Lonchura striata: one gene and its partner. The protein of the gene in region 1 purifies or fractionates together with the protein of each later gene. This does not show direct contact. Links are inferred from orthologs where the notes say so. Each region holds a gene or a part of one and is shown in the gene's direction. Other genes may lie near its edges.

Evidence for each region. The genes of interacting proteins can lie anywhere in the genome.
Region 2: the proteins of SNAP23 (region 1) and VAMP2 purify together in Homo sapiens (affinity purification with western blotting; 4 studies listed by BioGRID and IntAct, with this or other methods). This does not show direct contact. The link is inferred for Lonchura striata from reciprocal best matches to the Homo sapiens genes SNAP23 and VAMP2.

The regions. Positions count from the first base shown.
Region 1 is NC_134608.1:36,271,256-36,279,400, reverse strand, and holds the start of SNAP23 (synaptosomal-associated protein 23), read left to right. Parts: upstream 1-5,058; 5' UTR 5,059-5,197; intron 5,198-5,574; exon of another isoform or gene 5,575-5,682; intron 5,683-8,145. UniProt on the Homo sapiens protein: Essential component of the high affinity receptor for the general membrane fusion machinery and an important regulator of transport vesicle docking and fusion.
Region 2 is NC_134612.1:2,059,593-2,067,018, forward strand, and holds the start of VAMP2 (vesicle-associated membrane protein 2), read left to right. Parts: upstream 1-4,319; 5' UTR 4,320-4,540; coding exon 4,541-4,542; intron 4,543-7,426. UniProt on the Homo sapiens protein: Involved in the targeting and/or fusion of transport vesicles to their target membrane. Major SNARE protein of synaptic vesicles which mediates fusion of synaptic vesicles to release neurotransmitters.

The DNA.
Region 1 (8,145 bases):
CTGCTACAGATGAGTGGCTGAACATTCCGACTATATAAAGCCACGAGTGCCATGGAGTGGGGTATGCAGCCTGGCATTCCAGCTGCCTAGAAATCCTCAGAAGGCTTCAAAGAGATCAGCAGCACTGGCCTGTCCAAAAGCCTGCCTAAATGCTGCATGCCCCTACAGAGAACAGTGGAAACTCAACACTTGAGAAGAACAGGAGGCTACAAAATCACTGTGCAGAATTTTCTGCAGCAACATGCTCAGCTCCTTGCAGAGATGTCACTCCTAGTGCCTCAGTGACTTCTCTCCTGCAGCAACCAATTGCACGCACATCAGCTGAACTGTAGAATAGTAACAGTAATAGTACAGAGCCCTATGTTCCAATTTCATCACCTCCTGCAGAATTTACATGGAATAAAGCACCATCATTCAGAGATTATCTTCCCTTCCAAGATTTGTTGCCCTTCAAGCATCTGAATTTACTACACATCCCCGCCAGACCATAACGTCTACTAATTACCTTAACCCTCCTTCTGAGCACATGTGTGAGGCACTAACTTTCCTTCTGAGATGTTGATCTGTGCAACCTAAACCCAGGCAAAAAACGAAAACTTAAGGATTTACTAAAGTTAAGTCATGACTAACAACATGATTCTCCCCCAGCACACTGTCAGGCACTGTACAAACTACTTTGTAGTTGGTTTCTTATTTTTACAGGGCAAAGGAGAAAACTGTATCACACTCCAGAAGTTAAAATACTTGTACCAGAGTACAAAGCTTTAAAGGTAAATTTCTCCCTGCTTTCCAAGATTTAATTTTATCCATGTGACAATCTAAGGGTAGTCTAGACCCCTGAGCACTGAAGCAGCACCACTACACAGCAAATGTTTAATTGGGCAGACAAGTGCTCAACTGTTTTGACATCAAGCCAGGAAAAAAAGAGTTATTTCACAGATCAAAGTTCTTTAAGCTCCTGTTAAAAGCAATAACATTTACTTCACTACCTGGCTTAGAAAACATCTAGCAGAAAATGAGTGCTATCTCATAAGTATGGCTGGGATTTTTACAACATACAGGGAAAGTCTACTGGAGATAAGGGCACCACAGAGAAATATCTTAAACAGACCAGCAGAGGCACAGAACACCTGGCAGGAACAGAGTTTTCACTGACTTCTATTTTTATTTCACGTAAGTCTCAGAACAGAGCACAGACCAGATATACACTTTAAGCCACAACCAAACTGCATCTTTCCAACTCCTATACATAAGGAATGCTAATAATTTCTTAATATACAAAGTAAGTTTTCCTTGCTGTAAATCAAGATGATAATTTCTCTCTAGTAAAACTAAATGCCTTCTATCTTTCTCATGAGAGCTTCTCACACACCAGAAGATTCAGGAATCTATTCTGTCCAAACTGGAATGAAGAACTGTACAGCATTATTGCTGTATGCTGTCACTTAGAACATGTAAAATCCACACACCTGGAAAGCTTCTGTCTTCTCCCATACTCCCTATTTGGTTTAAGGCATATGAAAGTTTTGTTTTCTCCAGATGTTCTCCTCAAACATCACATTTCCTGAGCTTATTAAAATAGCTATTCCCCTTTCCAAACTGCCCAAAGCACTTAAAAGGATTGTTCAAAAACAGATGTAGCACTTCAGCTAACATCCCTATGTGCACCCTTAGGAGAAGGGAGTTGTCTGTGTATCCCTACTACTACTACAGCCTCAAACACAATTCATAATGCCTGAGACAAACTCTTACTAAGAAGCAACATAGTGATCCACAAGATGTGGCAAAAAACAACCCAATTAAATTTTAGATTTAAACATTTAAATCTAATAATTTAAATACTACTGTGACTTACAAAAGAATTCTCATCAACTTATTCTGGTAACCTTGAGTCACTTTATAAAGGGTCTTCACTTTACAGACCTTGTAAGAATGACAGAAATACCCAACACTTAATTTTACACTTACTTCTGTAACATTAAGTTGTATAATTTTTCCCCTTTCCTAGGCTATTTAAGCTCATCATATCCTTCCTAGGTATTCATACAATGTCTCTTTCACTAATAAGTTAAAAACAAGGATCAAAAGCCACATCAAAACAGATTACTCTATGTATCCTATCTATTGCAGTTCCACAGTAACAGATACCTGGCCTTGTCAAAATAACTCAGACTCCCCACAAAAGATCTGTATAGACACAAGAGAACAAGCAGGGAGAGCATTCAGTAAGTAATTTGGCTTCTTCTATTTATATTGTCATTACAGAGTATGAAGAATCACTGGAGGGTGATTTGAAACATTCAAACCAAGGTACTCAAGTCACTTTTCAGTATAAACAGCTTTCATGCCAAGAAAACTCAAGTTAAGGATTTCAAATACTAAGATAGTAGTCATTAATGACCAGGTAATAGAAATACAGGGCTCTGCCTAAATTAGTATATCTCTGTAATGTAGTTTATCTCAGGGCTGAACACCAGCAGCTCTACCACAATAAGATCAAAATGTAAAATATTCTGGGACTTGATGAAAGAAACTCAAAAACCTTACATTACAAATATAAAACATAGCTTTATAAAAACAAAGAAGTTACTTGTAAGGTATAGTATCCTTTTACTTTGCTAGACTCAACTTGAGCCAGATAACACCTCAAATCTTATGACACCATCTGGTGGCAGAGTTCACAGAGGAGGATTACCACATGCTAAAAAAAAACTTCAACATTTTAAATTTGATCCTGAACAAATTTACATTTTATTCTGGATATCTTATTAGTTTTTTCAAGATAAGATGGAAAGAAAATTGATAGATTTACCTAGATACTACAAGTTGTATCTCTGTATACAATTTAGGTATGCATTTAGAGGACTGCTGTTACTCTGTACTGGATTGACAGTTCTGCAGGAATTAAAATGTCTTTAGCTGACATCTCTTCACATATGTGATATTTTTGAACATAGGGAATAGAAGCTGCCTGAAGTCTGGTCACAGTGACCAAACAGACTTAGGTAACATGCGAACAAAATTTGGGTAAAACCAATGTCTTTCTCCAAACTGAAAATGCCAGAGTATAGCACCTATTTAGCTAACTTTACATACAAAAATCAGTCATTAGTGGAACACATCAAGTAGTGCAAGTGCAGCTGCCTTTTACTGCCAGTTCAGCTGAAATCGAGCAAGGACTTTAAAAAAAAACAAAACACAATTCAGTTGTTTTTAACAGGAGCTACTTCAGGATAGAAATCTATTTTCCAAGGTAAAAAGTTACAGAGACACATTGCATTGGCCCTTAGAACTTGCAGTAGTAATCCCAAATACTGCAATGCTAATGGGAATAAGCTTCTAAACTTCAGCAAAGCTATTAATAAATTTTTGGAAGGCTTAAGTATTTGGGGTTTTTTTTAGGCCAGGATTTGTCAGTTCAGCAAAACAGCCAATTTGTTAAATGCAGTAATTAAGGTTTAACTGAAAGAAGTAGCAAATAACTGAAGAACAGCAATAAGCAACAGAGATGTAGGACATGTAAGCCTGGAAATTCATGTTGAAAACAAAGTCCATAAATTCTCAATTCTATTCTCTCTTAGGACACACCACCTCAGAACCTATCTGTTCTTTAAAGTTCATCAGGTGTAGAAGGGAAGGTGAGAAAGAAGGTTTTTACCTGCATGAGAAGATTATTACCAAACCTCCATCTATACTGAAGCATGAACTTTAACCATCAATGAAGTATACTGAAGAATGAACTTCAATAATTTATGTCACTTGTATCCAATATTTCATAAACTTTTACAAACTGACATCCATATGCACACCCAAGCAGTTCTTTATGTACGTTTGGATTTGAACCACCCTGTGTGCAATGATGAAGGATTACTTTTAAACACCCCATATTTCATCATACTATTATGACTTGTTTCACGCTGTCAGTCCCATTCCTTTAAAGTTACCAGATATTTATCACTAAACTGATACATGATTTCACTACAACACATTTTTAGATATTTGCTTATGAGGAAGGCAGCTAAACAACCTATATTCAGTCACACTTCATCCCCGGAAACACTTCTGGCAAGTATGAAGAGGCATTAGGGCAGCTACACACCTGGCACAGAGACGCCTCCGCCCTAACGCCCCTGTTCTACAGCAGGGCATCAAAGTCCAGGATCACAACAGCAGTAGGGGATGCTCACGAGGCAAAGCACAGCGCATGCCCGCCCCAAGGCGAGATGCCGCTGCCGCAGCCCCTCTCGGCCGGGCTCGCCCTGCCGCCCTCCACAGGCCGCCCACTCCGCCGGAGCCGCAGCAACCCCCATCGCCCCCGGCCACCACCGCTCTCCCCAAGCCCTCTGCCCCGCACAGCCCCGGTACTCACGGATCCCACCCCTCTGCAGGGCAGCAGCCCGGCAGCCCATTCCCCCGTGGGGCCGAGGAGGCCCGGCCACCGCCGCCCGGGAGCGGTGCCGGCACGGCGCGCACCGGGCCCGGCCCGCAGCACCGCGCGGTTCGGCGGGGCACGGCGCGGCCACCAATGGGCCGGCGGGAAGGGGCCGCGCTGCACGCTGGGCGGCACGCCTGCGTGCCCGCGGGGCCTGCCGGGAAATGCAGTCCCGACCGCCGTGGACAGCCGACAGGCGAACCAACTTAATGGCGGGGGCACCAGCACCGGCCGGCTGGGGGCATTCACCAGCAGATAATGGTAATAGAGGTTATTGTTGTTGTGTGTAAATACAGCGCTTTAAACACGCTTAGTGCTACGTGTTACCGCTCTACAAATCAGACGCTGCAGACGGCGGGTATCTCAGCAGCGAGACGCTGTGGACATCACGCTGGGCAGGGCGGCTGCCCCTGGGAAATGTGCTCCAGGGACAGTTCTTAAGGCAGGAGGGGAAGGGCGCGGGCTGTGCAGTGTGCGGTAAGCCTTACTCCACTGGGACCTTTCACGAGGCCAAACTCCCCCCAGATGCTGAGAGAGACAAGGGAAACCAAGACCGAGTTCTGAGAGCTCAGCAGCAGTTTCACTGGAAGAGGGGACTTTAGGAGCCACGTAAGCTGATGCTGTGAAAACTACCGGCTGCGTTTACAGTGCTTACAGTCCTACAGCAGGTGCGGGATGTGACACCAACCTCTGAGAAGAACTTATCCACACCTGAGAAGGAATATACCTCAGGAAAGGCTGCGCGGTTCAGCTGAAAAGGATGAGGTCGGTGATTGCGAACAGCAGCTTTCCCTTTCTGCCCTCCTCTCCACTGGTGACAGAAGGGGACTGACACTCATCGTCCTAGTAGAGAATAGTAACTGGAGAAAAACCCCACCGATACAAATAAGGCCGCTTCTTGACTGCACTGTTTGCTGCCGCAGCTGCGGTCGGCACGGGCGGACCGCGGGCACTGCCCAGCCGGCACTGACACCCGAGGGGCAGGGCAGCAGGCAGGGCAGCCCCGCGCGCCGCCATGCCGGGTGGGCAGGCCGCCGTTCCCGCCCGCCGCCGTGTGAGGGCGCTGCGGGCGGCGCGTTCCTCCGCCGCACTGGGAGCGGCGGTGAGCGGGGCGGGGCGGGGCGGGCGCCGCTTCCGGGGGCGGCGGGGACGGGCGGGACATGCGAGCTTAAGGGGGCGGCCCGGCCCGGCGCGAGGGAGCGGCGGTGGGTGTGTGACGGGTTGGGCTGTGGCAGCTTGCGGCGCCCCAGGTAAGGTGTCAGGCTGTCCGTTCCGGTCCCGTCCTCCTCCGCGCCGCCTGGCGCCCTGCGGCTGCCGGGGGCCGCTGTGGGGCGAGGCGGGCCTGGCCCGGTGCGGTTGCCGTCCTATGTCGGCTGTGCTGGGTAATGGGGCGGCCGGGATCCGGGCCCGGGCCCTCCGAGCCCCCGCCTCAGCTGTGTGCGGGGAGGCCTCGTGGGCTCGCCCATACCGGGGGCGGCAGTGCCGTGTCCAGGTGGTTTTTGATTGCTTGGCGAGAGCCCGTGAATTGCGCTGTTAGTAGCGTCCAGGAGAAAACCCACCTCTTGTTGCTTCTTATTAAGCTTATGTGTTGTGTCTGCTGCCTTTAGACTAATCTGTAAAATGCTGTAGTGTCAATGTAGTAAACAATAAGAATCGAAGTGCTTCTTGTGCTTCTTTCACTTGTACGTCTCAATGCCCTTGGTCCTTCTGGGAAGCTCCTAATGAGTCAGCTTTATTTTTCGCTTTTTTTCCCTTTTTTCTCTTTCTGTTTCAGTTAATGTGAAGTCAGCACATGACTTGACACTCTAAGTAAACCTAAAGGAACTTCGGAAATTTCTTTATGCAACTTCTCTATTTGCCTAACTTTTCTTTTTTGTTCTCTTAGAAAGGGTACTGGATGCTCAGTGTTTAGAGCTAAGGGTGCTGTTTTACTTCCTCTTCATAAACAAACATGATTCTGTGCTGTAGAGGGAACAGCTGTTTAGGGACAAAGGAAAAGCCACTTCTGTTATCAATTGCTTGCTTGATTGATCTAATTGAGCACTTAATTGCTTACTGGCAGTCTAGTAGCTAGTCTATGTGCCTGCCCTCCTCTGCTCTGCAGTTTTTGAAGTAGGTTATTATATAGTAGTTTGTGTCTTTAGGAGAAATGGAATCTATAGTAGTTTGTGTCTTTAGGAGAAATGGAATCTCTTGCTGTCATTAAATGGATCCAAGTTTGACTGTGAATTTCTATTGGCCAGATTCTGATCTGGAGGAGGTTTCATGAGGCTTTTTCAGGGGCAAAAATGAGTTGTTGATGTGAGTGTAGAACTGAACTGCACAGAGGAGGTGGCATTGGTAGCGCCTATTCTTTGTGCTATCGCCTTTGTGCAGTGTGTTCAGGAAGCTGATAAGGGAAAGCAGGAAGCACGCCGAGTAGTGTCTTGGTCGTGGGCCCTGGCCTCTTCCTCCAGGGCCACAGATGCTTTATTCATTTTTCTTGTAGCCATAATCATCTGGAGGAGTACATTCTGGTGCCGATACCTTGTGCCTGCATTAGCTGGGCTGAATTTCAGCTAACTAGCAAGTGGGATGGTTGTTTGTGTTAAGGAAGGGTTTTAAAAAACTAAGTTTTCTGTAACGATCTAATTTTGATCTTTGTAAGCATGCACAGGAAATTAATACTTGACATTTACATATCTAAGAATATTGTTTCATTATTTTTTCAATCTTTTGGGGAAGGCAACAGCTCCCTTTACAAGAGAAGGAACTGAGAGCATCCACAATCACCTGAGGCTGCACCAATTTACTGACAGCTAAAAATGCAGCTCATGAGATAGTGGCTTCCAGTCAGTTGCTGCAACAGCTGGGTTGTGCCACCAGCTAGTTCCTATCTTTGTGGTAAGAAGGCATAGACTGTATTTCTCAATCCTACTTGTAGATGCACTGGATAGGCTGTTTCCTTCTCCCCCAGTTTACAAGTTATCAGTGAAGGAGGAAGTTTGTGATATTGATTAAAAGCATAACTTCACAGGCAAAGGGATAGGTGCAAACAGAGGACCTTCAGATGGTAAGGAAGTAATTTATAGTCTGTAGCAAATGTAATTGATATAGCCATTTCTGAATTGCATTGAAAATTCTGAAAGGTATTCAGCCTGTCAGAGGTACAAAACTACTGCTTGTTAGCCAGAGATGCAGAACAAAAATCTTATTCAGGGTGGGTTTGTGAAAGTGCCAGCAATCAAAACAATATTGATCTGGTGCAAGTAGACCTGTCTGGCTTTAGGAAACTTGTCACTTTTGTTAGCCTTTCCCTGTCCAAATGTGGATAGTGTAATTGGAGTTGAACAAGCACTTTATCAGGCCTTGTGGCACCCTGCAGTTAACTTAAATTTATAAATATCAGTAAGGGTTTTGAGTACTTTGGACAGCACAGCCTTAATGTGCTGTGACTGTCATAAAGCAAGGAATTAAGTTTTCTTTTTTCTTAGAGAAAATAAGCATTAGAATTGCTTCTCAGCTAAATGCTGAAGAAGAGTATATTTAGGTCATGTAACTTGCCTACTAGAGCTTTCATTACCATGGAAGTGCCTTATATATATATAAATGTGCCTTTTTATATAAAAGTCCCAGAAGATTATTGGTATTGAAGAAAACTTGAAAATTCTGTGCAAAGTCAGTGTTGTAATGGCTTTTGAACTTTGTTTGCATTGGAAACTGAGTGTGTTGGT
Region 2 (7,426 bases), on another chromosome or scaffold:
ATGCTCCCCCCCCTCCTCTGTCTGTTGTCTTGTTCCTGTCTGCTACAAATACTTCCCACAAATCTTCTAAATCAAACCACACAAAGGCTTAAAAACAAAATTGGCAACAATTTTTAACTTTTCTTCTTTTACTCTTCTCCCTCCTCAGCCCCTCACAGACTTTTAAGCAGAGTTCCCTGTACCCAGTTTTTACCACAGGGACACACACAGGCAGGAGGGAGTGGGCCTCACTGTGCAAATGCTTGGTAGGATCATACCTGCAAAGTTTTCAAAATTATCCAATAATATACTTTAACAAGAACTGTAAATCCTTTGAAGGAGCACAGAGCATCACACCTTGCTACTCAGGCTTGCTAATGAACTACTCAGGGTTTTAACAGAACCCAGGTAAGCTGGACCTGGATCTCTCAGAGAAATGGCAGAAAAGACAATTTTTGAGAGGAATTACAAATGCTTTACTGACCTGTAAAAGGAAATGGTCACTAAAGCACTAATATGCTGTGAAGAAATTAATAGAAGTTGTGAGTGAAAGGAAATTACACACCCCACAAATACAGATTGAGGTTTTAATTTGCGACAAAATAATCTGCAAATGCAAGACCCATTTTCGGCAAGCAGTGGTGCTGAAGTGAAGCTCTGCAGAACAGACCACCTGTGGCTAATAGAGGCAGCAACTGGGCAGGCAGGCATCTGCCTTGCTTCTGAGAAGTGAGCTGCAAAGGCTGGCTCGTTCAGTACCAATTCCACTTTTCTAAAAAGTCAAGAGAAGAAAACAAACTACTTAAAATAAACATGTAGAACTGACAAAGGATTGAAGATACATAGAACAGATATTTTCTTAATCCTTTCGAGCAATAGTTTCTGAGAAAAATGTACTTTGCACATGTCTAGTGTTTAATTTCTCTTTTAAGGATTAATTTGTCTGGCTATGATGAATTTCCAGTGGCATAAGTTCTGGAGATTTAGGGGGAATTCCTCCTATACTTTGTTTAAATGCACTGCCAGATCAGAAGATTTGAAAATGCAGCATTTGAATAATTGATTTATTTGCCTTGCTTTTCTTTTCTGCTTAAATCTTGTGAAACTTAATTACCATTACTTTCTATAAACCAATTAACTGCTCTCAGCCTTCTTATTTGGCACTAACAGTGTTTTGTTTTGTGAGCCAAAGTAACCAGTACTGGTGTTACTGTGGCTGGCCCTGAGATTTACTCTATTGTATGGGTACTCTATAAAGCTGTGGACTACATGATGACTCCTCTGTGTGGGGATCCTACTTGCAGATCCACGAGAAAATACATTTCCCTCAGGTGAAGATCATGTAACAGCAGTATATAAGATTTTCAGGAGCCTCAGTCTTCTATCTCCAGGTTGCCCCTAGATAATTATAAGCAAATTATAGCACCTGCAAGACTCCAGGTGCCAGAATTGATTTCCACTTATGATGGTGGCTGGTTGGCTTTCATTCTGGAACATCCTCAGCAGTGTATTGGTGGCTCTGAAACTGCCTTCATAAACAAAATTTTGCTTCAGGATAAAATACAAATTATGGACGGGATAAAACCCCAAGAGTTTACAAAGCAGACTGATTGTTTTCAATACCCAAGAGGGGCGGGATGAAGATGTAGGAAGTTATTTTCCAAAAGTGGAGCATTTTCATAGCCTCCAACTGCACCAGCCCTGATCCTGCTGTTGTTGTTACACCAAACAGAACAAGAGGGAAAATCTCTGTGGCAGTGCAAACAGACAGAGCAAAAGATGCCAGACAGGAGAGGAGTTCCAGAGAAACTATTTGGATAGCAACGGGGGGACAATTTCTCTGTGTCACCAGGATGCAGATTTTCTGATTCAGTTCTGTGACTTAAATGACATTTAAGCTGTTTGGACTCATTCTGGTCATACTAGTTTTGCCACCACAGGGTGTCTCTGCATCTCTTCTAACACCAAAGGGTTTGGTGGCCTTTAATGGCAATCTGCAAGCTTCAGGGAATGTAGGGCTATAGGAAATGTCCCCCAGATCAGCTGTGGCTTTTCCTCAGGATTGTGAGCCTTCTTGGATTGGAATGGTGATGCCTTCATTAGCTGGTACGAAATTCTATTTTTAGCAGCTACAGTGCAATGATGTTGTTTAATCTGGTTTAGAGACCTCTCTGTTACCACTCTGGAGGAAGCCACAGCCAGATGATCTGGGGCACTGGGGTAGCTTTAGCTGATTCTGCACTGTGCTCACAAGGTCTGAGGTGTTTTCCCTGTAGTGGAATGCTTCTGCTAATTTCTGATTTCTAAGTTTCCTGACTGCCATTTCACCTTTATGCTTGTGTGGATATTTTCTGTTCCCCTTCAATAGGGATAAAGGTGGCATGGGGTCAGCACAAACACTATCATTTGCTTCATTTGCTCTGGATAGTTTGTATAATAAAACTTTTCAATATGTTGGATTTGGAGTCTTCCAGGTTTTTTTTTTTTTTGGGGGGGGGGAGTTTTTTTTGTTTGGTTGGTTTTGGTTTTGGTTTTTTTTGGAGACTTGTGAGCTTTGGTCTAGCACCAGCACTTGTTCCACCCTGCATGGGTGGAAGTGAGACCACAGAATGGGCAGAAAGGTCTGGTGGAAGACGTCTCTGTCCCAGAAGCTCCTGACCTCACAAGTCAGGAATGACTTGTTACTTTCTCAATATTCAGGTGTGGCTTGTGTTTAAAGATGAAGGTGAGAATGCTCCTGGTATCAGGTTGTGCCTGTGTTTGGTGCTGGCCTGAGTGTGGGTGCTGCTGTGGCATCACACAAATAATCACGTAAATATATCATACAAACAATCATATATATAATATATGACATGAATGTATCTTTGTCTAGGATAGCTGAAAAGTAAACTCTCCTCGGCACAGAAGGAAGGAGGAATTCCAGATGAGAATTGCTGAGCTAAGTAATCTGTGGGTGGATAAAGTTGGGCATCTCCTGATTGTCATCAGGGCGTGCCAATTGGTTGAAACTCTATCTTCACATAGAGAAAATACAGTTTGAAGTGTTTTTTACTTCCATCAGGAAAGGTTTCTATGGCCAGGCTCTCATGAGTGTGATCTATGATTGAAAAACCTAAGGCTCGAAGTGGTGCCCAAAATGTCCAAGTGGTATTTATTCATTCATGCAGACAATTGGCTCCAGCAGAAGAGACAGAATGCAGTGGCAGGAGGTATGAGGAGTCTTTAATGCAGTGAACAAGCTCTCAGGCAGCAGAAGAGAAGGGAGAGGTTCCTGTGAGTGTCACTCTGAGGAGTTCCATACTTCCCCAGAGAGCTGGATCCCTTCAGAGCTGACAGCCCATGGCTTACATCTGAGCCAGGCTGTGATAACACCTGAGCCCAGATCTGGGCAGGAGCTGGGTGTCCTGGTGTCTGGGCTGTGGGTGCTGTCACATTCCCTGGCTACATTCTGCATGAAAATACTCAGCTGGCTGATAACAAGCTAAGAAATTTGCATTGATGCCTTCCTCACTCCCAGTAACTGGGGTGCTTTTGCCTATTGCTTTGAGGAACAATTCACCTTTTCTTAGATTTCCACATCAGAAAGCACAGATTTGATCTGATGACACTGTTGCACTTTATTCCCAACAGGCACCCCAAGATTTGAGGTCTAGGTACCTAGCAAAGCTTGCTAGGTACTTGCCTTACCCAAATACCTGGTTGGAAAGGCCAGGGCTGGCTGCCACTGACACCCATGGAAAATTAGTGAAGGCAGTGACAGGTGAAGCATCTTTTCACAAATGAACAAGGTATCATTGGGGCAGCAGTGTTAAATACCACTTCTTAAAAAACCACGCAGACTTTCTTATTCCTTCACCTCTGTTCAGAGTACGTGAAGGCCTTGGTTTGCATGCAGAGGAAGACGTGCTGTTGCAGAGTTTCAGTTCTGCACAGGGGAATGGGGCACGCAGGGGGGTGCTGATATTCACGGAGGGTGAGGCTGGATGCCTGGATTGAGGGCGAATGTGAGGTGACATCTAAACCAGAAGCAAGGGCTGTACTTCCTCTGAGACATAACCTTTCCAGAATCAGTGCTTGATCTGGTAGCTTATCTGTCTCTGGATTTGCTCCGTGGGTTTTCATCCACAAGTGGATGAAACGACACGCACGGCAGCGTGGGATCGAACGGCAGCACCTTCCGTCATTCTCCTCCTTTAAAAAACGTTTCTTCCTAGCGAGGAGGGGCAGCAGGAAGGTTGTTAAGGCAACACCCCGCGGCTCCCCCCTGGCCCGCAGGTGCCGGCCGAGCGAGCGCTGCGGTGGCCGCGCCCAGCGCGGGGCCCGGCGCTGCCCCCGCGGGCTCGGGGCGCTCCGCGGCCGGGAGGGCGTGCAGGGCGCTCCGAGCCTCGCCTCGGCTCCCAGCCGCTGATGCGAGGCGCAGGCATGCTCAGTAGCCGGTGCCTACCCCTCCTCTCCCAACAACAGTGCCTGCAACAGTAGGAGCCGGCTGGCAGCGGGCGCGGAGCCGAAAGCCATCTTTGCTGGAGAGGGAGCCGGCGCGGCCGCTCGCCCCCCGCTCGCCATGTGAGTACCGGAGGGCTGCGGAGCACCTGCGGCTCTCGGGGGCCCTTGTGCCGCGGGGGGGGGCACGGGCACGGGGGCGGGCGCGGCTGCCAGGGCGGGGGCTCGGCAGGAGCCGGAGCTGCGGCAGCACCGCCCGTCGGACCCGCTGCCGCACCTGAGCGCACGGGTGGGCTCCCGCCGTGTTTATCCAGCGGCCCGGGGGTTACCGACACGTCTCTAGTCGGATTCGTGCTGAAAAGGGAAGGCTGGGCCAAGATCTTCAACAGGTTCGAGTCAGGGTGGTTCAATTGCATGAGTCACCCAGCGCTGCTGCTCCACGGCAAGCGGGTCCTGTTTGTTTTCCGTGTTTAATGAAATGTTCTCTCGCAGACGGTGGCTGTCTGATCAGTCCAGCCTCACCTTCTCCGGTGCCAATGGCTTCCTGTCAGCAGTGCTTGATAATAATCTGTTCCTTCTTGTTCCCATCTCTCCAAATACCTGCTCCGAGTTTTTTACATGGAGCATTAATGGAAGCATTAACATTCCCTGCTAGGCAGCGATGAACCCCCAAAGTCCATTCCGAAACCAAGAGTGTGCTGAGGTAAATAGGAATTGATCAGACCCTTCTTCATTCACAAAAGGATTCAGGCAGCTGAATGCATCATTTTACTATTGCCTCAATTCATTGCTCATTCCCGGTGACCCTTAAGGGAGAGCCCGGGGAGATGTCTGAGACAGTCATTTGTGCTGGTACTGGGTGATCCTGTAAGAACTGGAGCTTGGTTGATTCAGAGAACATGAGCAGTGCAGACTGTCTTGGAAATCTGTGAATAAATTGCTTTAAAAATATTTCCAATAACCAACTGTTCCTCAGGAGGCATTTTCAAAATAGAGTCTGCAATCACATATTAGCTTTTGTCTTTAATGCTGTTTCCTATATAGTATCTCAGACAAGAAGCTTTTGTTCGTGCTGTCCAAAATATTTCTAAAGCAAGGAACTCCTTGGAATTCAAAAAGGCAACTTTCTAATAGAAGATTCCTTATGCAAACACCAAAGCCTGTCAGTTAAAGGCAGTTCATTGTAGGCTCCTGTTGCCTAGCTGTGTTTCTGTTGAGCCAGATGATGACATCAAACACTTCTCTTTGTACGTGAGCTGTTCTTCAATGATTAATATATGAGTTTGCTGCTGCAGTTCTACACAATCGGAGCTGTTCTGACACTAAGCAATAATCAGATGATGTTTAACTTAACCCATGTGTGTTTCAGTCTTGGTGTATGTAGGTTTTCATGAAGTAGAAAGGGTGATACTGATATAACTTGGTCATACTTCTTCTGTAGGGCTTTACATCAGTCTGCTGACAAAAATTAGAGGAAAATGGGAGAGCAGTTTTTGTCTAATTTAGCCAAATGGACATGGAGTTTGATAATCGAAAGAAAATCAAGACAAACCACCTTGTCTTTGGCAGTGTCAGTTGGCTTCTGTTTCACTGCCAGATGTTGTAATGAAACCTTTCCTTTGAACAACTCCATGGATGTCTTGTCCCAGCAGCTGCTGAGCTGCTGCTGAAGCGCAGAGGTGAGTGTGGGTGAGCTCCTGCCCTGCAGCAGCAGCTGGATTTGCCTGGCTGTCAGAGCCAGCTGCTGGTGAGCACCAGATGCTCTCTGGAGGTTCCTTCTCCTGCTGTGCCACCTGTGGGAGTGCTGGGCTCATCCTCTGCCTGTCCAGACCTGCACTGACACTCAGGGTGCTGTGACTTCACTGCTGGGATGAAGATCTGCCCTGGGCCAGGTGCCAGCCCCACCCATCCCCGGGTGCTGTCCCCTGCAGCAGCTTGCAGGGTTTGCTCAGGGAAGGGTACAGGGTATTCCCAGAATACCAAGGTATTCCCAGAATACTTTCCCAATTTCCAGCTTAGGAAAAGGTCTCCAGCTTGGGGAGTGTCTGAACCTCAGGAGAGTTCTCAGTATTTCATGTCTCCTGTGGGCTTTGTTCTCTCGTAAGGTGTCCAGGTGCTCAGTTTGTAGTGTCCTGGGTGAGGAGCTCTGCAGTTGGACCATACAGCGTGTGGAAGCAGCTCCCTGTTGGTTTGGGCTGACCTGGAGCAGGTTCTGCCTGATCTCACTCTTGTAGTGAAAACCAGAGAACAGTGTTCCTTATTCACCATGTTTTCTGTGACCCATGGTCGTGTATCACCCCAGCAGACCCGTATGATCCACATCAGGTGGGAATCTGTCCCCGTGGCCTCTCACAGTGAGCACAACCCTGGGCAGGTGAGATCCATTCTGGAAACAGAACTTTTGCCTTTACGCAGGCAGAGGAGGGGAAGCTGTAACATCAAAAGGCTGAATGAAAGGAGAAGGACATAAAAGGTATTTAAAGCAAGAACAGAGAAAGATTAGACCTGCCAGCAGAGCTGGGAGAGATTTTCCAGGTGTGAGGAAGAGCATACAACATACAAACTCATTTGGAGGAGATGTGAGAAGCAGTGAAGGACAAAATGGTGCTCAGAGTTGAGTTGCTCCTGAGCTTTGTTCCTTGCTGGAAAACAGGCCAAGAGCAGCAGGTGAAGTGGTGGTTTTGTCTGGTTTACAATGGTCACAGCTCAGTGGCTAATTCCATACAATAGCAGCTCAAGGCATCATGTCATCTGCTGTCCAGCCAGCTCAGTGGCCAGGCTGCAGGGTGCCTCTGCATCAATCCAGGACCAAGGGCTCCACTGCAGGGACACCTTCTGTGAGACACCAGCAAAGCACCTGGCTGCCCCCAGGGCAAAATCCAATCCATTCCCCAGGCAGCAGCTAGAGCTTCTTAAAACAATTGTCCTTGTGCCTGTTTTAAAGCAGCAAGGAGGTGATGGGTGGGATTAAAAGGTTCCAGCAGTAGCAGTGAGTCTGTTCTGGCTG